Oryctolagus cuniculus: one gene and its partners. The protein of the gene in region 4 binds, or shares a complex with, the protein of the main gene of each other region. Links are inferred from orthologs where the notes say so. Each region holds a gene or a part of one and is shown on either strand. Other genes may lie near its edges. The genes, in order: FGFR4, FGFR3, FGFR1, KL and FGF23.

What was found.
Region 1: the proteins of KL (region 4) and FGFR4 are in contact, whole or in part, in a cryo-EM structure (PDB 7YSW), measured with the Homo sapiens proteins. The link is inferred for Oryctolagus cuniculus from reciprocal best matches to the Homo sapiens genes KL and FGFR4. Residues at the interface, in NP_004786.2 of Homo sapiens: Ser539, Gln540, Phe541, Thr542, Asp543, Asn545, Val546, Tyr547, Leu548, Trp549, Asp550, Val551, His553, Ser554, Lys555, Arg556, Leu557, Ile558, Val563, Thr565, Arg568, Tyr571, Val573, Ala576, Gln579, Pro580, Glu625, Arg628; in NP_001341913.1 of Homo sapiens: Asp266, Gln282, Leu284, His286, Ile287, Ile289, Gly295, Ala296, Asp297, Gly298, Phe299, Pro300, Tyr301, Val302, Gln303, Val304, Leu305, Lys306, Asn311, Ser312, Glu314, Leu318, Tyr319, Leu320, Arg321, Asn322, Asp327, Thr332, Leu334, Leu341.
Region 2: the proteins of KL (region 4) and FGFR3 are in contact, whole or in part, in a cryo-EM structure (PDB 7YSU), measured with the Homo sapiens proteins. The link is inferred for Oryctolagus cuniculus from reciprocal best matches to the Homo sapiens genes KL and FGFR3. Residues at the interface, in NP_004786.2 of Homo sapiens: Ser539, Gln540, Phe541, Thr542, Asp543, Asn545, Val546, Tyr547, Leu548, Trp549, Asp550, Val551, Ser554, Lys555, Arg556, Leu557, Val563, Lys566, Arg568, Tyr571, Val573, Ala576, Pro580; in NP_000133.1 of Homo sapiens: Gln286, Leu288, His290, Val291, Val293, Gly299, Thr303, Pro304, Tyr305, Val306, Thr307, Val308, Leu309, Lys310, Glu320, Leu324, Ser325, Leu326, His327, Asn328, Val329, Glu332, Asp333, Thr338, Leu340, Phe347, His349.
Region 3: the proteins of KL (region 4) and FGFR1 are in contact, whole or in part, in a cryo-EM structure (PDB 7YSH), measured with the Homo sapiens proteins. The link is inferred for Oryctolagus cuniculus from reciprocal best matches to the Homo sapiens genes KL and FGFR1. Residues at the interface, in NP_004786.2 of Homo sapiens: Ser539, Gln540, Phe541, Asp543, Leu544, Asn545, Val546, Tyr547, Leu548, Trp549, Asp550, Val551, Lys555, Arg556, Leu557, Val560, Val563, Thr565, Lys566, Arg568, Tyr571, Val573, Ala576, Glu625, Arg628; in NP_075598.2 of Homo sapiens: Asn272, Gln288, Leu290, His292, Ile293, Asn296, Gly301, Pro302, Leu305, Pro306, Tyr307, Val308, Gln309, Ile310, Leu311, Lys312, Glu322, Leu326, His327, Leu328, Arg329, Asn330, Glu334, Asp335, Thr340, Leu342, Leu349, His351.
Region 5: the proteins of KL (region 4) and FGF23 are in contact, whole or in part, in a cryo-EM structure (PDB 7YSH), measured with the Homo sapiens proteins. The link is inferred for Oryctolagus cuniculus from reciprocal best matches to the Homo sapiens genes KL and FGF23. Residues at the interface, in NP_004786.2 of Homo sapiens: Phe377, Lys385, Leu389, Glu390, Pro392, Trp417, Phe418, Ser420, Lys429, Tyr432, Tyr433, Lys436, Phe437, Arg468, Ser471, Ile472, Arg556, Arg693, Asn694, Met695, Thr696, Tyr697, Ile735, Val752, Phe755, Asp756, Asn782, Asn783, Leu785, Ile812; in NP_065689.1 of Homo sapiens: Leu39, Met74, Ala80, Val88, Arg91, Leu166, Ile167, Phe169, Asn170, Ile173, Arg175, His177, Asp184, Ser185, Glu186, Arg187, Asp188, Pro189, Leu190, Asn191, Val192, Leu193, Lys194, Pro195, Arg196, Ala197, Arg198, Met199, Thr200, Pro201.

The regions. Positions count from the first base shown.
Region 1 is NC_091437.1:63,110,616-63,116,528, reverse strand, and holds the start of FGFR4 (fibroblast growth factor receptor 4), read right to left. Parts: upstream 3,700-5,913; 5' UTR 3,564-3,699; exon of another isoform or gene 3,519-3,563; intron 3,198-3,518; exon of another isoform or gene 3,029-3,197; intron 1,598-3,028; 5' UTR 1,564-1,597; coding exon 1,473-1,563; exon of another isoform or gene 1,459-1,472; intron 873-1,458; coding exon 609-872; intron 520-608; coding exon 439-519; intron 339-438; coding exon 172-338; intron 1-171. UniProt on the Homo sapiens protein: Tyrosine-protein kinase that acts as a cell-surface receptor for fibroblast growth factors and plays a role in the regulation of cell proliferation, differentiation and migration, and in regulation of lipid metabolism, bile acid biosynthesis, glucose uptake, vitamin D metabolism and phosphate homeostasis.
Region 2 is NC_091433.1:654,970-660,972, forward strand, and holds the start of FGFR3 (fibroblast growth factor receptor 3), read left to right. Parts: upstream 1-2,298; 5' UTR 2,299-2,457; intron 2,458-2,822; 5' UTR 2,823-2,920; coding exon 2,921-3,029; intron 3,030-6,003.
Region 3 is NC_091433.1:88,163,277-88,168,505, reverse strand, and holds part of FGFR1 (fibroblast growth factor receptor 1), read left to right. Parts: intron 1-537; coding exon 538-804; intron 805-2,255; coding exon 2,256-2,345; intron 2,346-2,623; coding exon 2,624-2,796; intron 2,797-3,946; coding exon 3,947-4,070; intron 4,071-5,154; coding exon 5,155-5,229. UniProt on the Homo sapiens protein: Tyrosine-protein kinase that acts as a cell-surface receptor for fibroblast growth factors and plays an essential role in the regulation of embryonic development, cell proliferation, differentiation and migration.
Region 4 is NC_091440.1:81,191,746-81,196,974, reverse strand, and holds part of KL (klotho), read left to right. Parts: coding exon 1-488; intron 489-1,540; coding exon 1,541-1,809; intron 1,810-5,229. UniProt on the Homo sapiens protein: May have weak glycosidase activity towards glucuronylated steroids. However, it lacks essential active site Glu residues at positions 239 and 872, suggesting it may be inactive as a glycosidase in vivo.
Region 5 is NC_091440.1:105,066,088-105,071,316, forward strand, and holds part of FGF23 (fibroblast growth factor 23), read left to right. Parts: 5' UTR 1-205; coding exon 206-599; intron 600-4,145; coding exon 4,146-4,249; intron 4,250-5,229. UniProt on the Homo sapiens protein: Regulator of phosphate homeostasis. Inhibits renal tubular phosphate transport by reducing SLC34A1 levels. Up-regulates EGR1 expression in the presence of KL. Acts directly on the parathyroid to decrease PTH secretion. Regulator of vitamin-D metabolism.

The DNA of each region.
Region 1 (5,913 bases), on a different chromosome or scaffold from region 4:
AGCCGCACAGTTGGGGTTGCTGAGCGGGGAAGGCACTTGGTGGGGTAGCCGGATCGCCCCAGTCTGAAGCCTGGTGCTTCCCAGTTGCCTTCCACATTAGATTCACAGGTGCCAGGGGCCCGGGGGGAAATGAAGTCTGGGAGCAGATGGTCTGGGACTCCACAGCCTCACCCGAATCCCTCCAATGCGGTTCTCCCCATGGAAGGCCTGTCCGTCCTTGAGCCAGCGGATGGTGGGCATGGGGTTGCCTGCGGCTGGGCAGCGGAACTTGATGGTGTTCCCGGCAGGCACTGCATGCAGTTTCTTCTCCATGCGCTGGGGGTGTGTCCAGTATGGAGCTGGGGGGGGAGGAGGTGGGCGTACTGAGTGCCCCCCACCCCTCGTTTCAGTGACCAGATGGGGCGATGTGGACACGAGTCCTGGAAGCCTCACACCGACCTTGCTGAGGGTAACTGTGCCTGTTCGGGGAGCCCCTGTGGGCCTTGGGGTCCTCAGGATCGTCACTGGAGACCGAGGAGTCTGTGTCAGGGACAGAGCAAGCATCTGAGGACCAAGAGAGGGAGTCTCTCTCCCCGGGGACCTCAGCCGCCCCCGCCAGCCCCTCTTACCATCCACAGCCAAGGTGAGATTGTGCAGGACCGTCATGGAGCCTCGAGCCAGGCAGAGGTAGCGGCCGGCATCCTCGGGCAGGAAGCTGGCAATCTCCAGGCGGCCCCTCCAGCCCCGCACCCGGCCGGCAGGTGCTAAGCGACTGCCCTCCTTGTACCAGTGGCCGCCCCGCTCAGCCCGCCTGCAGCACAGCCGCACGGGCTGCCCAAGGGCCACGGTCAGTTCCTGCTCGGGCTGTTCCAGGCTGGGGGCTGGGCAGGGTTCTGTGGGCCGAGCACAGAACGCAGTGAGCCCCGCCACTCCGATGGGAGGCGGCCCCCTTGCGTATGAAGAACATGCTGCCCACGTGGGGCCCGGGCACCCAAGGACACGTGCTGGACATGCCACTCCTCCGCACGCAGCTGTGGGCCCACGCCACAGCGCCGAGGTGGGCCACACGCACACAAGTACTTGGCACGCATGCTGGACATGCTACACTCGGGACACACGTACACACACATACACAGACACTCAAAGGCACATGCTATACGTGCCACACGTGCTGCCTGGGCCGCCAAGCTACACACTGATGCACAGAACACACACACACACACACACACACACCCACGCAGCCAAGCGCTCACCCCCGGCTCTGCAGCCCAGCTGAGGGCCCAGCGCCCTGCAAGGCCCGTCCTCTGGAGCGCAGTGATAGATAGTGGCCGCTTGCTGGGAGCCAGACACAGAGTCTCAGAGGCTGAGGCCTGCCCTGCCACCGCCTTCTCAGGGCTTGGGCTGGGACCCTCTCCGGCTCTGCTCAGCCAGCAGCCCCCTCCCAGGTTCACGCTTCCCACCCCTGCGACCCTCTCCCACCTTTGGGGCCATACCCAGCTCCACTTCCTCAGAAGCCTCAAGGGACAAGGCTGGAGCCCCAGGTGCCCCCAGCAGGACCCCCAGCAGGGCCAGTAGCACCCACATCTTCCTGCAGCTCCCAGGACTCAGGCTGGAACTCCTGGAACAGGGGGCAAAAAGAGCAGCTGCCACACGTGCGTCTGGGCCAGCGCTATTGCCCTATTTTGCAGATGAAGAAACTGAGGCAGGTTGGTCCAAGCCCCTAGCCCGGCTGTGGCAAGGCAGAGACTGGAACCAGCTCTGTTGCTGCTGCCGCTGCCGGAGCCCAGGGCCTCCCCCTGGTTGCTGGTGCAGGGGGAGCTGGGCTCGGCTTCCTGCTCTGCCTGGGTCCTGCTGAGACCCTGGCACAAGTTCACAGAAAGAGCAGTTTGGGGATTCTTTCCTTGGAGCGAGGCAGAGAATGGAGAAATATCTGCTGTTCGCTCTCAGCACACATAATTTACTTTTTGCTGAATAAAGAAATTTATTGCTGAAGAGCCAAAAAAAAAAAAAAAGTGAAATGTGATAGCAGGCCAAACGTCAGCAGCTGCATGTTGTTGGGGCTGACCCCTACCCCTAGGGTATTCCTGGCACCCATGCCTAGCAACTGGGTGCTTGCACCAACAAGGCAGCACTCCCCACGTGGAGCAGGGAGAGGGCCTCATTCGGAAGCCCCGCAACCCCACACAGGAGTTTCTGTAGACTCTAAAGTGTCAGCACCAAGTTCAAGTCTCGGCTCCCACCAGCTTGCAAGTCCTGGGCTGTCCCGCTCCAGGCTGTTTTGAGATAAAAGCGGTGATATATGTGGGGACTAGGCACGTGGCATACTGGCATGTCCTCCCCGCCCCTCTTGTCACCTGTCACCCTGGTCTGCCCTCAGCCGGTCAGCTCTGGTCCTGTCAGGTACGAGGTGCACACCCATCTCATTTGGTCACTTTCTTCCCAGTGCTACTGAGCACGTCTCTGTCCCCCCAAAGGAACACTCAGAACCAAGCAAGGGGACAGGCTGTGGTCCCAGGCAGCCACTGGCTATTCCCTGGGGCTGGGTGCCAGCCAGGTGTCAGTGGTGTCTGCAGATGCGCCTTCCTGGAAGCCCACCACATCTCTCTGCAGCCGGGTCCCCCCCTCCCAGCCCTCTCTGTATTTCCTGTCCCTCCCCGGGGCAGGCCACGGTGGTGTCTGCTTGGGCCTTTGCAAACCTCCTCTGTTCTCAGCCTCTGCAAGGGCTTTGGGAAACACACGTCTGTCAAGTGCCCCCTCCGTCGGTTAAAGGCTCCCTGCACCCTGCAGGAAGCAGTCCCCGCGGCTCGTGTGTCTCCCAGGCCCCCTCTCTGCCCTGGCCAATCTCCCTTCACGAGCACGGAACCCACCGCCTTTCAAAACCCGGCGCCTCCGTGCCCTTCATCCCTCTTCTCCATCCCGCTCAGCTCTTTCTGTGACTGAGCCCAGCCCACCCCAGGGCTCCGCAAAGCGCCCCCTCTGCCTCGGGGCACAGCTCCGCGGGCAGTGGGGTGGGGACGCCTGGGACCCCAGGCTGCCCTGACCTCCCAACCTCAAACCTTGGCCGGGTCACCGCGGCGGCTGGCCACCCGCCCGGCGCGTGGGACCAGAGCTCCCGACTCCAGCATCAGACGGTCCCGGGTTATCCAGCCTCCGCACTCCCGCGCCGGAGGGCCCTGGGCCAGCGCTGCACCTCTCCGGGCGTCGGCCTCCCCTGCTCTGCCGCCCAAGGACAAGAGCGCTCTCCCCACCCGCCCGGCCACCTTCGGGGGGAGGTGCGAGCCGAAGGGTCCCCCTCCCCCGGGAGCTGCACCCGCCCCCGCCCGGGTGGGCAATGAGTAACCAGCTCCGTGGCCACGGTGCTCTTTGGACGGAGCGGGACAAAAGGCCCTGTGTGCGCTGTGGGTTACTGATTTACCGCCCTTCCACCCCCGCGCCGAGAGGACGCCCCCGTGCCGGGAGGGGGCAACCCCTGGACCCCGCCGTCGCTCGCCCCCTGGCGGCAGGGGGTGAAGTCCGGGCCCGCACGGGTCCTGGCTCACCTCGAACCTGCGTGGCTCCGCTGCCCGCACCAGGGTCCTGCTCACCTGGTTCCCCCGCGCCTCGCTCCCTGCTCACCCGATCCCCGCGCCCGGCGGGGCCTGCAGATAGCCCCGGCGCTGCTCCGCCCGCGGCGGGAGAGCCAGGAATAAACTCGCTACAGCGGCGTGGCCGCGGGCAGCTGCCCAGCCCCGCCCCGGCCCCGCCCCCGGCCGGTAGTACCTCTCAGGGGCGTGGCAGGGCTCCGCAGCCACGCCCACCTAGGTCCCAAAGCGGCGACCCAGCATCACCGCCAGCCGGCCAGGGCCAGCCTGGCTACTACAAGCCACCTCCTCCGGCCCACCCAGACCCCTGGCGGGGCTTCCAAGTTCTCGTCCACTGCCCAGCCGTGTCTCCTGCTCGTCACCCCTCGGGGAAGGAAACATTGACCCTAGCCTTGCTCCGCCATCTCTGTGCAGTGGACTGACTGCCCCACGTCCGCTCATTTGGCAACCTGCACAGTGACAGTTCTTTCTAGAAAATATTTATTTATTTATTTGAAAGGCAGAGTGACGAGAGAAGGAGAATCAGAGGTCGTCCATCTGCTGGTTCACTCCCCAAATGGCAGAGCCAGGAAGCCAGGAGCCTGGAAGTCCATCGGCATCTCCCACGAGGGTGGCAGAGGCTGGGCCATCTTCCACCTGCCTTCCCAGGAGCATTTGCAGGGAGCTGGATTGGAAACAGAGCAGCTGGACTTGAACCAGTGCTCTGATTTGGGATGCTGGTGGATGTAAGCGGTGGCTTAAGCCATGGAGCCTCAACTCCAAGTCCAGAGTGATTTTTTAAAAGATTTATTTAGGGGGCCAGCGCTGTGGCATAGCAGGTAATACTGCTGCCTGCGGTGCAAGCAGCCCATGTGGGTGCCGGTTTGAGTCTCAGCTGCCCCACTTCCGATCCAGCTCTCTGCTATGGGCTGCCCCAGCCTGAGAGATCTGGAAGGGAGGAGAGGAGAAGAGGGAGGAGGAGGAGAGGGGAGGGGAGGGGGAAAAGAAAAGAAATCTCTCTTTTTGGCAATGTGGCAATGTAGTTTATGGTTTTTAAAAGTATATTTATTTATTTATTTATTGAAGAGACAGAATTACAGGGAGAGAGAGAGAAAGGTCTTCCATCCCCTGGTTCACTCCCCAAATGGTCACAATGGCCAGGCTGGGCCAGACCAAACTCAGGAGCCAGGAGCTTCTTCCAGGTCTCCCATGTGGGTGCAGGGGTCCAAACACTTGGGCCATCTTCCACTGCTATGATCAGGGAGCTGGCTGGGAAGTGGAGCAGCCAAGATTCAAACCAGCGCCCATATGGGATGCTGACATCTCAGGTGACTGCTTTACCTGCTATGCCATAACGTCAGTCCCACCTGAGTTATATTTTAAATACAAATCTGACTGTTTTATCTTCCCCTTTAATTTTCCAGTAGCTTCTCACAAAATTATATATAGGTTTTTAGCATAACCTGGCCCCTGCCCACATCTCCAGATTGAACCTTCATGCCCTTTTATCTTGCTCCCACCCTGCCCCTGGGCCTTTGCATGTGATTTCCCTCTTCCTGGAACGCGCTGTCCCGTCTTGGTCTGGTGAAGTCTGTCTCCTTCTCAGGTCCTGCTCCTCTTGCTTCTTCTGGGAGCACTGAGCTCACCGGGTGCTGCAGAGCTGCCTTTTCCTGAGTGATTCAGAGCACAGCTTGCAGCACTGGGCTGTGTGCCCTCACCTCTCAGCACTGTCGCACACAGCCTTGGCGGGTCCCTCCATCCCTGTCTTCATCCTGTTGGCAGGAAAGTGGTAGCTGATAGCATCAACCTCAAGAGGTTGTTGCAAGAAGCAGACCTGTGGGTGTGTGCAAAGCCATCATCCAGCATTTGCTTTGCAATGCTAGCTGTGATTACTTCTTATTTTTTTAAAGAATTATTTTATTTATTTGAAAGACAGCATTACAGAGAGAGAGAGGTCTCCCACCCGCTGGTTTACTCCCCAGATGGCCGCAATGGCCAGAGCTGCACCGATCTGAAGCCAGGAGCCAGGAGCTTCTTCCGGGTCTCCCACGTGGGTGCAGGGGCCCAAGGACTTGGGCCATCTTCCACTGCTTTCCCAGGCCATAGCAGAGAGCTGGATTGGAAGTGGAGCAGCCGGGACTCGAACTGGTGCCCATATGGGATGCCAGCACCGCAGATGGCAGCTTTACCTGCTGCACCATTATGATCACTTTTTGATCTGGGATTTCTTCATATTTGCCAGTATTGTAGCTGAACCATCAGGAATGTAAATGATTGTGAAGTGTTCCCTCTGGGGAGGCAGGAGCTGTGCCCACGGACCTGGCCGCCGTGTTAAGTGCAGGGTACACGCAGGTGCCTCCCAGATAGCTCCACT
Region 2 (6,003 bases), on a different chromosome or scaffold from region 4:
TGGCACAGGGGTCAACGGCCGGCCGGTGTGGCACGTTTGTAGCGGGTTCGAGTCTGGGCCCTGCTCCCAATTCCAGCTTCCGGCTGCAGCGCCTCCCAGGAAGCAGCAGCAACGGCTCAAGTGGTTGGGCCCCCGCCACCCACAGGGGCGACCTGATGGGGCTCCCGGCTCCCAGCTGCGGCCTGGCCCAGCCCCCACTGTTGCGGGCATTTGAGTGGAGCCGTGCACGGGACAGATCTCTGCTCTCAAATAGAATAAGGACGCCTTCAAGTAACGGCCTCCCCGCGAGGTGGGGACGGGGGCAGCTTCAGGTGAGCTGCCGGCAGTGAGCGGTGCCGCGAGCGAAGCCACGGGGAGCAGTCACATCAGGGCGTGGACAGCGCCACCGTGGCACCGTGGCACGTGCGGGAACGCACACCTGAGCCGGAACCACATTTGCAAGCATGAGGCAATCCGGCTAGGCAAGCCCTAGGTTCAGTGAGGCAGAGACACAGAGGCAGACGTGGGCCACACGGGGCCCCCGGAGCCCCCGGAGCTGGGCCAGGAAGTCCCTAGCCCCCTCTGCAGAGAGTGGGAGGGAGCCTGGCCTGCCCACGCCTGGGCTGAGGCGGGGGGAAGGTGGGCCCTGGGCGACGCGGGTTGGGACGCGCCCTGGGCGCACCCCAGGCTGGTCCCGAGCAGGAGAGTGGCAGAGGAGAGCGGGATGGGGAGTCTCCGGCTCCCCTCGAGGCTGGACAGTGAGGGGACCCGGATGTGTGGTCTGTGGGGGCAGGCTTGGGGGACACGTGGGGACAGGGATGGGGCAGCAGGCACACAGGGCAGCGGGCACAGCCCCAGGCTGCCCAAGAGGGCATCTCTCCTGAGGAGGGGCTCCTGACGGGCACGAAGCAGCATGTGCCCGGTGCACAAAGACCGCTGACCTGCTAGGCAGAGGGGGCTGGCCCTTCCCGGGCACCGGGGAGGGGCTGTGGGCACCCAGCTGGCCGGTCCTCCCCGCCCCCGCCCAGCTGCCACCAGCCCGACCCACCAACTCCTTCCCTCAAAGCAGGAAGGACGCGGCCTGCTGCCGAGGGGCCCAGAGCACCCGGGCCCCCCTCGTCCTGGCGCAGGACGGACTAAGCGACTGGCTGCAGCCTGGTATGGGGGTCCCAGCTCCTCCTGATGTGCACCCGGGGGCAGCAGAGGACGGCTCCAACCACGTGAGTCCCTGCCACCCACACGGGAGACTGGCCTGGCGCTCCCGGCTCCGTCCCGGCCCAGCCCTGGCTGTTGTGGGCATTCGGGGAGTGCGCAGTGGACGGAAGGTCTCCATCTCTCCCTGCTCACTGTCTGCCTTTCAAATAAATGAATCTCAGAAAAACCCAAAAACCCAGATGAGTGCAGACGGCGCTGAGAGGCGCTGAGTGGCAGCGGCCTGCGGCTGCGCACTGCAGAGGCCTGGCCAGCTCACCTAGGGGCCAGTGGGCCTGTGTCCCCAGGCTGCAAGGACGCGGACTTGGCCTGAGCAGCCCACGAGGGAGGCCCAGGGCGGAGGTGCTGAGCTGCCCACTGAGCAGAGGGTGGCCTCCCCGCCAGCCCCCGCCCCCCCAGCACCTGCGCGCGCACCGAGGCCTGGGGGAACACAGAGCCGGTTTGTGGCCCACTCTCCTGGTGATCCGGCCAGCACCTGCGGCCCTCCAGCTCCGCAGGCCCTCGACCTCTCTGGGCTGGCCTGTCGCATGGGGGTCTGAAGGCAGGGCCTGGTGCTGCGCGCCCAGCCTTGCCTTCCCGGCCCAAATCTCCCAGAACCTCGCCCGGCTGTGCTCTGCCACCAGCTCACCACCGGCCGTTCCGAGGCCTGGCAAGCACCAACCTTCCGCCCCCTCCCTGCGGCCGCGCGGGACGGACACCCCCCCCCCCCCGCACAGGCGCAGCCTCCACGCGCAGCGAGGCTCGGACCGGAGGCGCCCTGCTCTCCGCCGCCGGAGGTCGGCCGGTCCCCCGCCGCGGGGTTCTGCTGCCACGGCTCCCCCGCGAAGCCTCCCGGGCCTCCGGTCCCCTGAGCCCACGCCCCCGAGCCCTCCCGCACAATCCCGCGGCCCCGAGCTGCCCCAGCCCCGCACGGACAGGCTGCGCCGGGCCTCCCGCGCGACCGCCCTGCCCGGGCTCCCACGCCCTCGGGGACCGGGGGCCGCCCCCGCCGGCCACGCCTCCTCGCCCGGGACCGCCCCGCAGCGCGCGGCGCGGGCGTGGCCTGGGCGGGGCGGGGGCGGGCCGGGCGCGGGCCGTCCCCCCTCGGCCGCCGCGCGCCGGGCAGCCCCTGCTCAGAGCTCGGCGGCGGCGGCGGCGGCGGCGGCGCGGGCAGCTGGCGCCGCGCGGTCCCGTTCGGGCGCACGGACGCACCGGCGGCGGCAGGGGCGGGCTGCGAGCCGGGGCCGTGGGAGCCGCGCGTGGCGAGCCGGGTTCCAGAGGCGCCAGGTGGGTGCGCGGGGCCGGGCGGGCTCTGGGAGGGGTCGCGGGGGCGACCCCCGGAGGGGCCGGGGCGCGCGGCGGGCGCGGGTCCCGAGCGGCCGCTGTGGCAGCTTCCCGCCCTGGGAAGTTTGCCGCCGCCGCCGCCCTGGGAGGGAAGGGGGAGGGAGGGAGGGACCGCGGCGGAGAGGAGGCGGCCGGCGCCAGGCGGCCCGGGAGCCCTGGGCGGCGGCGGCGGCGGCGGCGGCGGCGGCGGGCGGGGCGGCCGGGGGCCGGGGGCCGGAGGGCTCGGGGCTCAGGACCCTGGCCGCGGCCGCCGCTGCCGCGCGCCCCGGGGCCGGTGACGAGGTGCCGCCCTCCTCCTCCTCCCGCAGACTCCGGCGTGCGCCTTCCTCCCTCTCGGGCCCCGGCCGGGCCGTGGGGGGCAGCATGCCCGCGCGCGCCGCCTGAGGACGCCGGCTCGGTCCCCGCCATGGGCGCCCCGGCCCGCGCGCTGGCACTCTGCGTGGCCGTGGTGGTCGTGGCCGGCGTCGTCTGGGAGCCTGCGGGTCCGGAGCGGCGTGTGGTGCGGAGAGCCGCAGGTGAGGACGGAAGGACCCCCACCCCACCCCACCCCCACCCCGCCCCGGGGACTCGGGAGGGCCGGGGTCCGGGCTGGAAGAGGAGTCGGTCGGCAGCGGGCAGCCGGCTCCGAGGTGGGGAGGGGTCGCCGGTGCCGGGCTCTGCTGCCCTCTCTCTGGAGACCGCGGCTCGTGGGAGCCCCCGCCCGGGGCGCGGCTGCCGCCCTAGAAGCCGTCGGTTTGCGCGACCCCATCGTCCCTCGGGTTTTTTGCTGACGGAAAGTTCCTGCTGCCGGTGCCCCCAACCCCCCGCCCTGGCCCCGGTTCCCGGCCAGCCTGGGCCAGCGCGAGACTGGACTTTGGAGGTGGGAGCGACTGCGTGGCGAGGTGACACCTCCCTCCCGGGGTGGGCGCCGCGACTGCGAGGGTGCCGGTCAAAGTCCAGCGGGGCGTCCGGGTGCCGGGAGGAGCGCGCGCCCCGCCGCAGCCCCCAGGTGCCCGGGCGCAGGACGCGGGCGGCGCGGAGCCGGGCTGAGCGCCCGGGCGTCCTTGCTCCGGCGCCGGGCGGGCAGCCGCCCCCCGCCCCCGTGGACCCTCGGCTCGCGCGAGGACCAAGGGTGCGCTCCCCGGCCCCGTGGAGGGCCGCTTTCCCCGCGAGCCTGCGGCCCGGACGGCCGCCGCTTTGTACGTCGCGAGGTGCGCGCGGGGCGGCCGCGGGCGCGCGGCACCGAGGCAGATGGCGGCCCCCGCCCCGAGCCCCCGTCGCCGCGGCGGCTGCAGCCGCGCGAACAATGTCATTTTTTTATGAATGAGAGTGGTCCGGCGCTTGAATGCGCGTGTCATTCACGGCGTGACAGAGGCCGGCGCGAGGTCAGCGCGCGCTTTGAGCGCCTGCTCCGACGGCCCGGCTGCCGGGGGCGCCGAGGGGGCGGCCGCGGGGGCGCATTAGCATTCGCATTCAGATGAAGATATTACTCCCGGCCGACCGGCCGGCCGGGGAGGCGCCTGGGAGGCCCGCCTGGAGGGGGGGCCCCGCCCCCGCACACCCCGGCTGGAGGAACAGGTAGTGAGTTGATGGGACCATAAACTTAATCCGGCTCCTTAACGAGATGGGCCGGGCAGTAAAACACTAAGACCGCGTGAAGGGCAGGGCCAGGGCGCTTTCTCCGGAGCCTGCCTGCTGGGGTCAAGGGCGCCACTGCCCACGCCAGCCCCGTCTCCACGGGGCTGTGTCCTCCGCCGTGGGGGCCTGGCAGTGGCTCTCGGGTGCTGGGAGGCTGGGTCCCCGGGAGCCAGGGGGGTCCCTGGCGGGGTGGGGTGGGTGCGGACCTCCCTCCAGAAGGCAGCTGCAGCCTCCCCACCCCCTCCTGGCAGGGCTGGACTTTGAGCCCAGCAGGCCTCCTGGTGGTTCATTAACCTGGCCTGATCGGCTGGCCTCTGCGCCCAGGAGCCCCTCGGCACCGCCTCCCCCGGCCTCGGGTCAGCGGCCGGAGCGGGGCTGGGGCTGGGGTCAGGGCCCTCCCAAGGGGTCCTGCCGGCCGCTGCCCTGCTGGGCTCGGTTTCCTCACCTGTGTGGGAGGACGGATAATGGCGGGGTTGTTGGGGGATTAGGCCGGATAATCCCGATAAGCTCTCATTAGCTCGCCCGGCCCCCAGCCCCTTTCCCTCTTCTGACTTGTTCAGGAGCTCTGTGGAATGTGTCTGGGTGGAGACTGAGGTGGGCAGGTGAGCCTCAGGACCCCTTAGACGCTGCTGACCCCACCCCTGGACCCACCTGGTGAGGGGGTGTGGCTCTGCTGCTACCCCTGCCCTGTGACCCCTGCACGCTGGGGGCCTCGACTCCTGGCCTGGCTGTGACCTGACCCACGTCAGGGCGTGCTTGGACTGCAGGTGGGAGTCCCCACCTTGTGCTGCAGTTGGGGAAACTGAGGCACAGTCAGGGAGCTCTGTGGGCTCTCCAGGTTGCAGGGCCCTCTGTGGGGCACAGGTGGCACCCTGGGGCTTGACACTGGGGCTGCAGGAGGAGCAGGAGTGGCGGGACCTGCTGACTCTGGGCCCCAGTGCCCGGGTGAGTGGACAAGAGAGAGCCTTCCCCGGGCCGCCTGGCTGGCCTCCCCTGGGTGAGGAGGCGGAGATGAGACCCCAGGGTCCCTGGCCCCTGAGACACCTGGCGGGCAGGGTGGGTGAACAGGTCGGGGCCTCGCTCCTCTCCAGCCGGCACGGGTGGGGGTCCTGGGCGTGGCTGGCCCGGGGCCGCTCTGATTCCTTCTCTGGACCAGGTTGAAGGGAATCCTTGTGTGGACTGCGTGACCTGTCGTGGTGCTCCAGACCAAACCGGAATCAGCCGGCTGTTGCCCTTGGGCCGGGGCCTGGCCTCAGCCTTCTGGGGGGCCTCAGGCAGCTCCTGGTGCTGGGTGGTCCCCGCAGGACACTGTGGCAGGAGCCTCCCCCGGCCACAGGGCCCCCTCGAGGTCTGGCCCTGAGCTGCGGGTCCCTGTGGGATGGGAGCTCCTGTAGAGAGTGCACAGGATGGCAGTGAGCCCTCCTCGCTGGAGGATCCTGACGGAGGCTGGGGCGTGTGGGGGGCGCGTGGAGGGACGGGCCGAATCGGGCCTGGCCAGGGAGCCGGGCACTACTGTGGCCAGAGTGGGCAGCTGGGCCCTCGAATCTAGGCCATACGTCGGCAGAATGACAAGTGATGGCGCAACTGGCCCAGCTGGGCCTGGCCCCCGGGACCACCCACCCCTGTCCCGGGCCCCAAGCCCAGGCCAGCCGCCTGATGGGGAATTGTGTGGCCCTGGCAAGGGAGGCCTGGGGGTAACGGTCACTGAGGCCCTGGTGCGTCCTTGCGGCCCTGGCCCTCATGTCCCCCTGGGAGCCAGGGAGGAGCAGGCCCCGGGGCTGTCCGGCACTGTCAGCTGTAGGCCCAGGCAGCCCGAGCTCCTCACCTGCTGGCCTCCCCCACCCCGCCTCTGTCCTCAGGGGGGCGGCCCCA
Region 3 (5,229 bases), on a different chromosome or scaffold from region 4:
CTCCCCTGAGCTGACCTCGCCTCTGCCTCCTTGGAGGCCAGACCCCCACACACACTGAACCACGGGAACTGCGGCCCCCCCCCCCCCCCCCCGTGACAGACAGGGGTGGGGGCTGCTGGATTTCGGAGGGGCAGGGCTTGTCCAACTGTTGTTAGGGGAAGGGGTGTCCCTGTGGGGGCAGTGGCCACTCCTGGCAAAGAACTGGGCGTGTGCGGGGCAGCATCTGGCCACAGAGGAGGCCTGGGGAGGGCGGCCTCTCCCTTAGGATGGCGGGAAACGCAGTGTGATCCGCTTAACGCTGCTGCAGCTGCTTCCTAACTTTGCCTCTTTTCTTCCTTTGACTTTTGGAGGAGCGGGGTGGGGGAGAGGAGCCAGGGGTCCCAGGCCGCCAGCTGTCTTCCCACTGACCCGTATTCCCAGCCCCAACGCCAGTTCGAGGAAGTGAGGCCCGGTGGTGGCCAGCGTAACTCCCCCTTTGTCTCTCCCTCCTCCCTCGCCCGCCACTGCCTCCTCTGCCCGTCCCTGGGGTGGCTGCAGCCCAGCCCTGGGGAGCCCCTGTGGAAGTGGAGTCCTTGCTGGTCCACCCGGGTGACCTGCTGCAGCTTCGCTGTCGGCTGCGGGACGATGTGCAGAGCATCAACTGGCTGCGGGACGGGGTGCAGCTGGCAGAAAGCAACCGCACGCGCATCACGGGCGAGGAGGTGGAGGTGCGGGACTCCGTGCCCGCCGACTCCGGCCTCTACGCATGCGTGACCAGCAGCCCCTCGGGCAGCGACACCACCTACTTCTCCGTCAACGTCTCAGGTTGGTAGCAAAGCCCCGCCCTCACGCTCTCCCCGCACCTACCCCCTCCGGCCCACTGTTTCCGAGGGAGCGAGCCTCTGCCCCACGCTCTGCTTCCGATCCGCTGCCCACTAACATTGCTCCCTGCCCGCCGCGTGGCTTGGCTCTCAGAGGGATGGTCAGGTGGAGCAGGCCTCAGCCAGAGATGCCCTCGGGGCGTTAAGGCCCTGCGGTTTTGCCACCACAGCGTGGCCCAGAGCTCCATCCTGCCACTGTCAGTCGGTCCGGTGGGTCTTGGTACTCTAACAGAGGAGTTAGAGCCCCAGACATTGTGGCGGAGGTCCCTGCTGTGATGATGGGGAGAATCCGGCGGGGCTGCACCGCCTCGCCTGCCCGCCCGCAGGCTCTCCAGGAAGCAAGCGCCTGGCCTCTAGCTTTGGAGCCATGAGGGCAGCCAGGGAACCCCAGAGCTCTGTGACTTTGGGAATCTGCCAGTTTTGGAAAGCGACTGTGATTGCAGGAAGTGAGCTGAAATGTTCTAGAAGCTATTTGTGCAGCCCAGGGAGGCGGGCCAGGTGTGCAGCCCGTAAGCCTCCCCTTAGGTGTCACTTTGAACATGCCCCCATCTTCCCTCTCCCCCACCCTGAAAGTGCGGGGCAGGCTTGGGAAAAGACCTGCCTTGAACCCTGATTGGTGACCACGTGTTTGTGGAGCCTGTTCTGACAAGGGGTGGATGCTTGGTGGGCAGAGGTGTCGGCAGCTGCAGGCCGGGTGCTGGGGGCGGTGCCCAAGCCTGAGCAGGTGACACACAGGAAAAATTCGGACTGCAGGTGTCGGGACCCTGACTTTGAAACTAATTGCTGCTCTTTTTATTTAAAAACATTTGTTTATATGAAAAGCAGAGTTACAGAGAGAGAGTTAGAGACAGGCCAGAAACTCCATCCAGGTCTCCCACGTGGGTGGTAGGGGCCCAGCCCAGGCACTCAGTCCCTCTGCTGCTGCTCTTCCAGACGCATTAGCAGGGTCCTGAGTGAGAAGTGGAGCAGTCGGGACTTGAACCTGCGCTCATATGGGCTGCCAGCATCACAGGTGGCAGCTTAACCAGCTGCGCCGTGTCCGTCCCTGCAGCTAGCGTCTAGCTCCACTGTGTCTCCATCAGCCTGTGTGGCCCAGTGATTGGCAGCACAAAGAAGGACACAGGTTTCCCAGGTTGTGGTTCTGAGACCCGGGGTACTGTGAGTTAAGGGGGGAAGGGTGGAGTCCAACAAAAGAGGACCCCACTGGGGAGAGAAGGGCCAGGCACAGGAGCAGGCAGTTCTGGAACGCCGAGGGAGAGTGGCCGTGGGAATCCATATGGGAGGGCAGTCAGTGTTGGTCCGTATCGGTAGCAGTCTCAGTGGGGTGACCGCTGATAGGCATGGAGATCCAGAGCTGTGTCAGAGGGGACCTCAGTGCGCTGCTTCTTCCCGTAGATGCGCTCCCCTCGTCGGAGGACGACGACGACGATGATGACTCCTCTTCGGAGGAGAAAGAGACAGATAACACCAAACCAAACCGTATGCGTGAGACACTGTTTCCTATCTTACGGGCCTGGGAGTTTCGTTGGAGAGGGAAGGGAAAGGCTTGGCTGAAACTGGAGGAGGAGGAGGAGGAGGAGGAGGAGGAGGAGGAAGGAGGGGCACGTGGGGTCCTGGTGCCTGACTGCAGCCCCTGGAGTGTCCCTTGATGCTGGATGGTGGCAAACAGGTGCTGGGCAGATGGGCGAGGCAGCTCCCGCTCCTGCCTGGGCCCTTGCTCGGAACCTGACCAGCCCCCTCGTTTCTTGGCTCTCCCCGGGCAGCCGTAGCGCCGTACTGGACATCCCCTGAAAAGATGGAAAAGAAACTGCACGCCGTACCGGCTGCCAAGACCGTGAAGTTCAAGTGCCCTTCCAGCGGGACACCGAACCCCACGCTGCGCTGGCTGAAAAATGGCAAAGAGTTCAAACCTGACCACAGGATTGGAGGCTACAAGGTTAGTACACATAGATATGAAGGGAGAGGAGGAGGGATGGGACAAGGGAGTTAGAAAATCCTCCCTCAGCCGGCGCCGTGGCTCAATAGGCTAATCCTCCACCTTGCGGCGCCGGCACACCGGGTTCTAGTCCCGGTTGGGGCGCCGGATTCTGTCCCGGTTGCCCCTCTTCCAGGCCAGCTCTCTGCTATGGCCAGGGAGTGCAGTGGAGGATGGCCCAGGTGCTTGGGCCCTGCACCCCATGGGAGACCAGGAAAAAGCACCTGGCTCCTGGCTCCTGCCAGGATCAGCGCGGTGCGCCGGCTGCAGCGGCGGCCATTGGAGGGTGAACCAGCGGCAAAAGGAAGACCTTTCTCTCTCTGTCTCTCTCTCTCACTGTCCACTCTGCCTGTCAAAAAAAAAAAAAAAAAAAAAAGAAAATCCTCCCTCATATGCCTCTGTTTTAAATAGTAGTGCTTTCTAACTAATGCATTTAAAAAGTTTTTAAACACATAGGGCTGGTGTTGTGGTGCAGCCAGTTAAGTTGCCACTCGTGATGCCAGCATTCCATATGAGAACACCTGTTCGAGTCCCAGCTGCTCCACTTCCAATTCAGTTCCCTGCTAATGTGCCTGGGAAAGCAGTGAATGATGGCACCCATATCAGAGTGCCAAGTGCTAAGCACTTGGGCCATCTTCTACTGCTTTCCCAGGCCATGGCCGAGAGCTCGATCAGAAGTGGAGCAGCCGGGACTCGAACCGGTGCCCATATGGGATTCTGGCACTGCAGGCAGTGGCTTTACCTGCTATGCTGGTAAAGCACCGGCCCCGGGCCAAACTCTTAACAGGAGCCAGGCACAGAGGCACAGGGTTGAGAATATTCCTGGTATAATTTGGGAGAGTTTGCAGAAGACAGCTTGGTTAGACCATGGCTGGCCTTGAGCACCACGGGGAAGACTTCTAAGGCTCACGCTCATCTGCCAGTTTAATGGACGTGCTCGTTTGAGTGGACCTGGGCTGAGCACCACGTACTCTGTTCCTCCTCCCAGCTACTCTGCAGTTCTGATGGGGGAGCTGAGAGAGGCAGTCCCACAGGCACCAACACGGCCCCATGGCCTCTGCCTGCATTTTCCTCCAGACCCTCAGTGGAGCCCTTTGCCTGTTCCCCACAGGTCCGCTATGCCACCTGGAGCATCATCATGGACTCCGTGGTTCCCTCCGATAAGGGCAACTACACTTGCATTGTGGAGAACGAGTACGGCAGCATCAACCACACCTACCAACTGGACGTCGTGGGTAAGAGGTGGTGGCGCAGACCTAAGGTGCTTAGGGTATGGAGCGGGCATCAGGGACTCCCGGGATGGCGTCAGGATTGCACTTGCCTTGTCACCTTGAGCGGGTCAGCTCCTCCGTTTGCACTTTACTTTTCCCTATCTGCAAACCAAAGAGCATTAGGTGAGAATGTGTCCCAAAGCCAATGTCGCCATGAACTGGAAAGCACTGTTGACAGTCTACCCTGAAAGACGTGACTGGTTGTTGGGCTGTTACAGGGAGTGCAGTGGTAGCTGTGGCTTGATGAAGGCTCTTGCAAATCTGCTGTCATCCCCACCAGGCAGGCACGCGCCCACTGTACCTGCTGAGGCTCAGAGGTCAGGTGCCTGTGGAATTCCAGGCCCCTGCCGGCTGCTGGATGAGCACCATGCTTCTCAGGGCTGCTCCTGCAGCCGGTCCTAGAGCAGGGGTGGGAACGTCCAGCCCGCAGGCTGTACGAGGCCCACAAAATCACCTTGTCTGGCCCTGCCAGGGCAATCCCAGACGGGACTTTGAAATTCAGTACATGTATAGCAGGCTGATTGTTAAGTTGGATCATTTTATATGGTCCACGAACGACGTTATAAATATCCAAGTGGCCCTTGGCAGAAACAGAGGCTTCCCATCCCCGTTCTGGAGGTAGAGTCCAGCACGCTGGAGATGGAGAGGCCCAGGGACTCTCCGCCAGCCTCCCATCTTGGTGCTGGCCACGTGGTCTCAGCAGGGGGATGGGGTCCAGGCTCTGAGATCCTGCCTTTCTGACTCTCTCTCTCCCAGTTGGCACTGGTGCTGCTGTCCCTGGGCCACACTTTGAACAGCAGTGGTCTCGGCAGCTCTCTGGGAAGCACGTTGTGCTGGGATCTCAGGGTGTTAAGTCCTTTAAGCTACAGGAGACTTATTACTGTGCATAAGTATGGAGCGTGGCCTCGAGGAGGAGTTCCCATGGAGCCTCGAGAGAGGACTCAGGGTGGAGGCACTGGGACCCCGCGGAGATGCAGGACATGCACTGCCCCATCCCCGGGAAAGCCGAGGGGGCACTGCAGGCCCACACGTGTCCTTTCTTCCACAGAGCGGTCGCCTCACCGGCCCATCCTGCAGGCAGGGCTGCCTGCCAACAAGACGGTGGCCCTGGGCAGCAATGTGG
Region 4 (5,229 bases):
CTACAATACTTCTTTCCGCCCAACCCAGGGAGGCCAGGTGTCCATTGCTCTAGGCTCCCACTGGATCATTCCTCGAAGAAGGACCGACCACAACATCAAAGAATGTCAAAAATCTCTTGACTTTGTACTAGGCTGGTTCGCTAGACCCATATTTATCGATGGAGACTATCCTGAGAGCATGAAGAATAACCTTTCGTCTCTTCTGCCTGATTTTACTGAAGCCGAGAAAAAGTTCATCAAGGGAACAGCTGACTTCTTTGCTCTTTCCTTTGGACCAACCTTGAGCTTCCAATTGTTGGATCCTCAAATGAAGTTCCGCCAGTTAGAATCTCCCAGCCTGAGGCAACTGCTTTCCTGGATTGCCCTGGAATATAACCATCCTCAGATATTTATTGTGGAAAATGGCTGGTTTGTCTCAGGGACCACCAAGAGAGATGATGCCAAATACATGTACTACCTCAAAAAGTTCATAATGGAAACATTAAAAGGTAGGATTCAGGTAAAATTATCATTTCCTGCCAAAATCCACTGGAAAAATAATGTAGGGTTATCTATAATAAAGTATGTGGATTTATATTTTTAATCATAATGTAGATTTTGGCAACAGTAGGAATGTATTTAGGTAACACCTTACATATTCAGGGTTTCTGAGGAATGTAAATTAACACTTAAAACTAATTTTGTAGTTGAAAAACTGGATTATAATGTTAGAAATTGCGTATTTTCAGAGTTGTTAATCCAGATCCTTAGACTAAAGCATACAACAAATCCCAGGCTATGTAGCTCTCCCTACATGTTTTTGAGTTATTGTTTTGCTCAAATAAAAGCATGCATTAACCCCCAAAGCATGGATTAATTGTATTAAAGAGATACACGCTCTACCATGTTTATAGCAGCAGTATTCACAACAGCCAAAATATGGAATTAACGAAGGTGTCTGCCATCAAATAAATGGATAAAGAGAATATGATATATATTTTATATAATAATGCAATATCATTCAGCTATAGAAAAGAATGAAATTCTACAATTTGTAGGAATATGGTTGGAACTGGAAGGCATCATATTGAGTGAAATAAGGTGGACACAGAAAGACAAATATCACTAACATTCAAAAAAGAAAAGAAATGCTGTGTGTATCAGTTTTGCTCTAAATACAGTGTTTTGTCCAAAAAAGGCATTATTAAAAGAAAAAGCATAATCCACATTTCATAGAGAAAATAATAGTTCATTATTTTAATGACTTTCTTCCTTTACTGCATCAGGCACAATGCTAGGGTACACAGTGGAACAAGACCTCTCCCTAGCCCTGTAGAGCACCCATTGGAAATAAGGAACTGTCTCAGATTTGGGAATGCTCTATTTGTGAGACATTTATTTGTGGAATTACCTAGATAGGACTAGAATCTTTTGTCAATAAGAAAAATCGTTGGCTTCTGAAACAAGAAGAATTAAACTTAATTTTTGTCTTTAAGTAATAAAGTCCCCGGCGAGTGATCAGTGAAGGTCATGTTGCTCCTGTCTCCTCTTCCCTTTGCAGCCATCAGGCTGGATGGGGTGGATGTCATCGGGTACACAGCGTGGTCCCTCATGGATGGTTTTGAGTGGCACCGAGGATACAACATCAGACGGGGACTCTTCTATGTTGACTTTCTGAGTCAGGATAAGAAGTTGCTGCCGAAGTCTTCAGCCTTGTTCTACCAAAAGCTGATAGAGAAAAATGGCTTCCCTCCTTTACCTGAAAATCAACCCCTAGAAGGGACCTTTCCCTGTGACTTTGCTTGGGGAGTTGTTGACAACTACATTCAAGTAAGTCAGCTGACAAAACCAATCTTCAGTCTCACCAAGCCCTATCACTAGTAAGTAGTGTTTCCTTATTAGGCTCTTCACATGGCACATTGTCAGTTCTTTAGCCAAACACAGTTTCCTCAAAAGCATACTCAGTGCACAAATTGGAATGCAGCAGCCCTTTTTCTAAAAATCTTCCAGACGTCATCTTGCACTTTAAATTAGATTCAAATGGAAATAAACCTGAAACGTTAATGTGTAAGATATTCTAAGGCAGGTAAAGATAATAAAATACATTTTTGTTCTGCGGTTTTCAACCCCTTTTAAAGCAGTTGGGTTTGTCCATAAACAAGATATACTCTTCCAAAGTCAAAATACTGGAGAATTGAGGGAGCCACTGATATTTTTGAAGCAGGAACAGATGGCCTTCTTCTTGAGGTATAACCATGTGGCTTGCAGAAATACCTGAGAAAGAAACTCTTTGCTTCAGTGTTTCACTGATAACAATGTCCTTTACAATCATGGTCATTGGAATGATATGGGAGTCTTTCCAAATGATCAACTAGTATTTACGGAATATTTACTATGTAATTGGCCCTCCATATTCTTTTTAATTTACCTAATTTTAAAGGGACTTGTTTTCCAGTTTACTGCATATGTTCTTAAAAAGATTTTATTATGGATTTGAAAGCAGAGTGACAGAGAGGGAGAGACAGAGGGGTGGGAGGAATGATATTCCATCTATTGGCTCTTCCTTCAAATGCCTGGAACAGCTGGATCTTGGCCAGGCTGCCGCCAGGAGCCAAGAGCCAGCAACTCCATCTGAGTTTCCAACATGGGTGGCAGGGGCCCAGGTACTTGAGGCCAACATCTGCTGCCTGCCCTGGTGCATTAGCAAGAAGGTGAATCAGAGTTGGAGTAACTGGGATTAGAAAGAGCACTTCAATTTGGGATGAGGGCATCCCGAGGGCATCCCAAGCAGTGGCCTAACCCAACTGAATACTTTAGTAAGTATGCCTCATGTGTACGAAGCCCTGTTGTGTGTTTCTGGGCTCACCTGGTTAAGTGGAGTGCCCGTGGGGAACACATTGAGATGAATAAGATACCCCTTGCTTTAAAAGGTGCAAAGGAACCCGTTGACAGTAAATGATGGAGACACAATGAGTATAATGGAGTGAACAGAGCATGATGGTAAGTGAGCAGGGTGGTGGTGTTGGGGGAAGAGCTACTGAATATAGTTTGGGTGTAAAAACAATAATCAAAACAGAGATAAATTCAGCATCCATAGTTAAGCAGTGAGACTTAGCATGTTGAGTTTTTCTAGCCAACTCACTGTTCCTATAAAGCACAGCTTCAGAAGAAGTTACTTGGAGGAATGCTTGGACCTCAAGAAAGGTTTTCTAGTTGAAGTGGGTTGCTCTTTTCTAGTGGTAAATATCAAGTTGCAATCTTTTATTTGTAAGGACATAAATCCACACTACTCTTAATAATTTCGTGTGGGTCTGGATTATGCTTGTGACTTTTTCAGATCATGTAGTTTGTTTTAGAGTCAGTCCTGGACTTCAATGTAAAGGACAGTGGGAAATGGGTTTGCAGAGATTTCTGAGCCCAATATAAAGTCTTAGGTCCGTTTTGCCCGGTGTGAGAGTTTCCTGCCTGCTCCCTCTCTGTCCTCCCTCGATCCAGGACTATTTGGAACCACCCTCTCCTAATTTCCCTTTCCAGAGGGGGGTCTCCAGTTCAAGTGCATTGGAGGTGACAGAAGTGGGACTGGTGAGGAGCAGGAGAGAAGGAGACAAGGAGGAGGAGAAGACATGCCCCCTGCAATCCTCCCTTCCTCCTCCCCTTTGTTAGCTGTAGGAGTCAGCTTTTCATTGCTGTAGTAAAAGGCCTGAGGCCATTAACTTTAAAAGAGAAAAGCTGTTTTCAGCTGGAAGTTTTGGAGGTGCGAGTCCAGGATTGGCCAGTTCCATTGGTTCAGCTTCTCATGAGAGTGGCCGATGGTGTCGGTGGAACGTGTGCAATGCATGACCACAGGATTAATGGGAAAGCAGAGAGTCAGCTGGTCTCAAACTCAGGCTTTTACAACAACCCTCCTCTGAGAGCTACCATTGGAGGGCATGTCCCCAGTGACCTAAGGCCCTCTCTTTAGCTCCGCATCCTAGATGCCAGAATGGACTCAGTTTCCACCCTGCTAGTGCCGTTAACTTATGATTTGGGAGTTTAAGTCCTGCATGAGTTCAGAGGCCAAATTATAGTCAAACCCTAACACTGGGGCTCGGGGTAGATTAGAGGGCCCCTGTCCCTGTTCTAGCGCTTGACTTTCTGCGGGCTCCCTGCTGGGCACCAGGCCCTGTCACTGCCCCTATCCAATCCTGTGACAGCAGCCTGAGCCTGCAAGTAGCTCCCAGTTCATCTAGTGTGTGAGTGTCTCGTGGCCCACTCCTCGGTGTAGACCCTAGGGACCCAGGGAAGTTTGGGGGCTGGAGAGATACATTTTGCTCCACTCTGCTCCCCACCCAAGGGCTGTGTGGTTGCATTGGGAACTGGAAATCAGTGAGAAAGTGTTCTGGGTGTGTTGCGGTAGATTTCTTCTGAGAGGATTCGTTCTGAGAAGAGGAGCAGGGTGGGCTCAAGAGGCGCAGAGTCACCTCACAGACCCCAGGAGTCGGGTGAAAGCAGGCCTGAGGCCAGCAGCCCGCAGACTCGTTTATTTCAGTTGCTACAGCTGCTTATATAGCCAAGGCAGCCAATCCAGTCAAGGGGCGGTCTATGCCCTAACCAATCACAGCCTGTTGCCAGGCAGTTTCCAAAGCCATCCAATCACAGCCTATTGCCAGTCAGGCTCTGTTGCCATGTGGTTTCTGAAGCCATCCAATCACAGCCTATTGCCAGGCAGTTTCTGTTGTCAGCGGCCATCTTGGCATGAACTTTGCACCTCAGCGGCCATCTTTGCATGACCTTTTCACCTTCTCATTCCACCACGTGGGTGTGTCCTATTTTCTTGAGGAAGGAGAGAGACTGGTGGGAAGTGAAATGTCTGATTGGCTAGGCAGGGTGATGCAGGGGGGCGGGGAATGCTTTGTGTCTCATGCCCTAGAGGCAGTGGGTTTAGAGCCTGATCACAGGGCAGCCCCTCAGCAGCCCAGAGCCCCACCCTCAGGTCGCGCTGTCCTTTTACCTCCTCAGCTCTGTCCCTCCAGCTCTCAGACCCCTGGGGATGTGAACTCCTCTGGAAGCTCTGGGGGGGTGGGGGGGTGGGGGGGGGTGGGCGGGGGTGGGGAGGGATTGGCGGCCCCTGCTGTGTGCTCCTTTGAGGTCTTCTCCTCATGCATTGCCTTCTGTGGCAGCATCCTTCCCAGGCCCACTCCCCAATGGACTAATCAAAGTGAGGCCTTTGCTATGCCAGCTCCACGGTGTGTGTCTGCAGTTACAAGCACT
Region 5 (5,229 bases), about 24 Mb from region 4:
TGCCTTCACATTTCCTGGTGGAAGTGGGGCAGGTCAACAGACAGCCAGAGTCACAGATAACTTTTGCCCACACATCATTCACTTTTTAGAGTGCTGGCTTGAAACTGTGTGTGTGTGTGTGTGTGTGTGTGTGTAGCCAACGTGCCTTCCGTGACCCTCAGGAGTCACTCCAGTTTCTCTGAATGGGCTGATTACAACACAGAGGATGTGGACGCTGGGGTTTTTCCTGTTTGATGTCACACTGCTACCCTTTAAAAGTCTAGGGGGCAAAAGGAGGGAATGCAGCCGAGGCTCCTCACGTCCCTCTCTGCTACTTGCAAGACTCAGCCCAGAGGGGAGTCTCAGGTTTCAATCTCAGCATCTGCCATTCGGAGAGAGAGGCGCGATGTTAGGGGCCCGGCTCCTCCGGCTCTTGGTCTGTGCCCTGGGCAGTGTGTGCAGCTGGTGTGTGGTCCGAGCCTACCCTGACACCTCCCCACTGCTCAGCTCCAGCTGGGCTGGCCTGACCCACCTGTACACGGCCACCGCCAGAAACAGCTACCACCTGCAGATCCACAAGGACGGCCAAGTGGATGGCACACCTCATCAGACCATCTACAGTGAGTAGGGGCTTCTGGCTGGGAAGAACGGGGACCTCCCCTGTTGTCCACTATGGAGAGTTGGGAGAGGGCTTGGGTTAGACCAGAGTGCTAATCCAGCCACCGAATGTGTTGCCCAGGAACCGTTTCATGGTGTGTGTGTGTGTGTGTGTGTGTGTGTGTGTGTGTGTTATCCTTAGGAGAAGAGTCTGCTCTCTCCCTAATCAGTACTTACTGATTTCTCTCAACATGAATACTTTGTCTTAGCTAAAACCCCTCTTCCCACAATGAGAGCCCACTTTCCCTTTGCCTTGGCCAAGGAGTCAAAAAAAAAAAAAGTATGGAAAAGAAATGCAAGGAGTCTAGGAAGAAGAGAAGATAGATAGATGAACACAGGATGCTTTTTTGGACTTGCTAAATAGGGAGATTATAAAGAAGATTGCTTATCACATCAAGAAGCTGCTTCCAACTCCTAGCTTCTAATATTCTGACCTCATAATTGTTCTTCGGAAGAACAGATGGAAGGCAGAGTGCCCAGGTGTTGTATCTCGGTGAGTCCGACCGAGAGCACTTCCTTCCATGTCCTCATCTATCCATGCATCCATTCGCCCAACAGGGTTACTCATGTTCTGCAGGAGTCCAGGGTGAGCTGGTGACTATTCTCTGGGGAGCTCACATCTGTCCTAGCAGTGTCAAGTTGAGCTAACTGGGAACTCACTGGACACATGAGAACACTGCAAAGTTTCCAAAGACTAGGTTTGTGGGATGCTGGATCACAGTCCACAGCAGTCCATCAGTTAGCAATGACCCAAAGGAGAGCTCCTTCACTGTAAAAGGGAGAATGGAGTAGAGGGCATGTGTGTCTTGACGGGTCTTCTGTTTTAGGAGGACATGTTAAATTACTCTGAGGACACAGAAAAATGAAAATTGACTCAAAATAGTTCAGGTCAAAGGAATGAAGGAATAATCCTGATCTCTAACTGAAAAACTTCTCATAGGAATTATGGGTTCTCTTTTATTGTTGGACTAGAGTAAGGAATTATCTTGCTGTGACCCTGCTGTGTGCAAAGCATTTGTTCTGCTAGGAATCAATGCTTTTTAAGCCTGGTAGCATAATGCATGCACACACAGAGTCAACCTTGGAAACCTCAAAGGCTCACTGGGTACTGACAGGCAGTGAAGGGATGGGGAGTTCTCTCCAAATTCCAAGCAGGTTCCAGAAGCAAAGGAGATATAGCAGTATTCAGAGTCACTATTCTTGAAGCTGAGTTTGATCTAACAGCATATATTTGAACTAAATCTGGATCTACTTGATGTGACCACAGTCCTGCTCCTGGTAGTCAGTGGGTATTTAGTAGGACCCACGATATGTCTGGAATGATACAGAGAGGGAAGACAGAGCTCTTCAACAGCCTCCAGTCTGCCATCCCTTCTGCCTGCCAGTGCCTTCTCGAACTTCTAGGCAACACAGGTTTGCACCTCTCAGGGGAAGCCACCTCGGCCTCCTCTGCAAAGCTGTCTGTGATCTGAGCCCAGCGTTGTGGTGCAATGGGTTTAGCCACTGCCTGCAATGCTGGCATCACATGAGTTCCAGTTCTAGTCCTGGCTGTTCCACTTCTGATCCAGCTCCCTACCAATGCACCTGGAAAGCCAGCAGATGATAGCTCAAGTGCTTGGACCCCTGCCACCCATGTGGGAGACCCAGAAGGAGTTCCAGGCTCCTGGCTTCAGTCCGGCCCAGATCTGGATGTTGCAGCCATTTGGGGAGTGAATTAGTGGATGGAAGATCTCTCTCTCTCTTTCTCTCTCTTCCCTTCCCCCATAACTCTGCCTTTCAAACAAATAAATAAATCATAAAAAGGCTACATGTGATTTAAAATGCATGAGAATAGATGATGACACATTATTCTGACTCCCATAGAAAGAAAGGGTAGAGAACAGCTAAGGAATATTTGTTTGTTTGTTTTTTAAATTTATTTATTTGAAAGTCATAGTTACAAAGAGAGAGGAAGAGACAGAGAAAAGAGAGATCTTCCATCTGCTGGTTCACTCTCCAGTTGGCCGCAACAGCTGGGGTTGGGACAGGCCAAAGCCAGGAGTCAGGAGCTTCTTACCAGTCTCCCATGCAGGTGTAGGGGCCTAAGCAGTGCTTTCCCAGGCCATAAGCAGAGAGCTGGATCAGAAGAGGAACAGGGCTGCTGTTATGGTATATGATGCTGGTTCAAGTCCCGGTAGCTCCACTTCTGATCCAGCTCTCTGCTATAGCCTGGGAAAGCAGTAGAAAATGGCCCCAGTGTTTGGGCCCCTGCACCCATGTAGGAGACCTGGAAGAAGCTCCTGGCTTCGTATTGGCGTAGCTCTGGCCATTGTGGCCATCTGGGGAGTGAACCAATGGATGGAAGACCTCTCTCTCTCTCTCTCTCTCTCTCTCTCTCTCTCTCTGCCTCTGCCTCTGCCTCTGCCTCTCTGTAACTCTGCCTTTCAAGCAAATAAATAAATCTTTAAAAAAAAAAAAAAAGAGTAGCCAGAACACGAACCAGCATCCATATGTGATGTTGGCTTCCCAGGTGGAGGCTTAACCTGCTAAGCCACACCACCAACCCCCTACTGGGATTCAGATGGACAGCATTTGGCAGCTTCGTGGGTTTCCCAGGCAGCCGCTATGCCCCTAGACTCAGTACAGGTAATCTTTGCCCTGACATGGCTGTGACCTTTGAGCTTGGAACCAGTCTCCACGGAGGCAGAGGGCGAAGGGGTCAGACTTAAAGCTACTGTCAATTATGTATGGTGTAGGAAGCATGAATGGGTTTCGGGCCCTGGCTGGAGACCAGCCTTTGAGAGGAGACACTGAAAGACCACAAGGGGTTGCCCATGGAATGGGAACTACCACATGAGAAAGGACCAAGGACAGTCAGGAAGACCCAAGAAAAATGTTCCATCCAGCCTTGATAGCCATTCAACGTGGAAAGATAAGGCCTCTGCTCCCCTGTAGCTCACTGCCAAGGAGCTAAAGACTAGGTATTGACTAGTTAGAGCCCAATGGGTAGGGCTCCTGCTTAACATTAGCAGAGAAGGGAGAGAGAGACTTACTCAAATACAGTTCTGGACACGTGATGAGTGCTGTGGAACGCATTAGACTATTACACCGCTGGCTGGGTGGAGAACCGGACTCTACCTCCAGGCTGCACCCTTGACAGAGATCTCAGCACAGCCTTAAAATTACAAACGCAGAAGGCTTGGAAGAACATGACCACTACCACTGACAGGAAGAGGCATTAGCCAGGCAACAGGGGAGACAGAGAGGGTACAGGTGCAGAGAGAGAAACAGGTGTACAGCACAGGTGAGAGAATGCTGTGAGTTCAGAGTGCCCCACACAGCAGGAGGTGGGTGTGGCAGTGAGTGGGTGTGTGTGAGATTGAGACAGAGAGAGAAGTGGAGAGAGAGCATTGAGTGACGCCATCATCAATCTTTGACACCAACACAGGAAGGTTTTGTGAGGGTGCAAGTACCTGAAGGTGGGAATTGGAGGTGCAAACAGTCTCTGACCAGGACGCTCCTCTCCATAGGTGCCCTGATGATCAGATCGGAGGATGCTGGCTTCGTGGTGATAACAGGTGTCATGAGCAGGAGGTACCTCTGTATGGATTTCAGAGGCAACATTTTTGGATCGGTGAGTGTGTGTGAGTGTGTGTGTGTGTGTGTGTGTGTGTGTGCGGGGAGGCAGCGGTTATGGATCTGCATTTTCCAATAGTTATCTATTTCGGGAAAACAGAAAACATGGACTTTTCTGGCTTGAAGCTTCCTTTTGCGGGTGCCTTGCTCATCTGTTCTCAGCGAACACTTTTTTGTCTGATCTGAAATGTTCACATTTATACAACTGGGGTTTGAACCGCAGTCTGTCTGGCCCCAGAACCCAGCCACTCGGTCCCTTGTCTGCACTGCCCATGGGTGCCCATTCTTGTATCTAGCACAGACCCCTGTGTATAGTTGTAGGTCTTAGAGATATGTGAAAGCATGCCATAAAGCACATTAGAACGGGCAAGAAGCTAATGGTGTCTGCTTGGACCTGTTGCAAGCTGCTACCTTAACCAGTCCCCTCACTTTCCCAAACTTCAGCTTTTTCACTCAGAAAAAAAAATGTGGTGGAGTGGCCCACATGATTAGGGAGCACCTCTGTCACAAGTCTGATCGCTGGTCATTCAGATTGGCAAGCAAGAGGTTCCTCAAAGTAAAGCCGGCTGGCACGTCCCAGTGGATTTTGAGATAGTGAAACAGTGGAACTGCTTATTTCAGGATTCTCTTTACCACCAGGCATACTCAGAGAGACGGCGCAAAATGGGGATTTTCTGTTTGGGTACCTGCTAAGTCCCAGTTCCTACAATATTATGTAGCCAGAGTGGATCTACATTTATTTATTTACTTACTTACTTATATTTAAGAGAGAGAGCACACACAAGTGTTACCATCCATTGGTTCCCTCACCAAATGCCTTCAGTAGCCCTTAGCCAGGAGCTGAGAGCTCATTTGGGGTCTCCTGTGTGGGTGGCCGGGACCCAATGACTTGAGCCGTCACCACTGCCTGCCAGGGTGTGCATTAGCAGGAGGCTGGAGTCAGGAGCCAGAGCCGGGCACTCCGATATGCGATGTGGG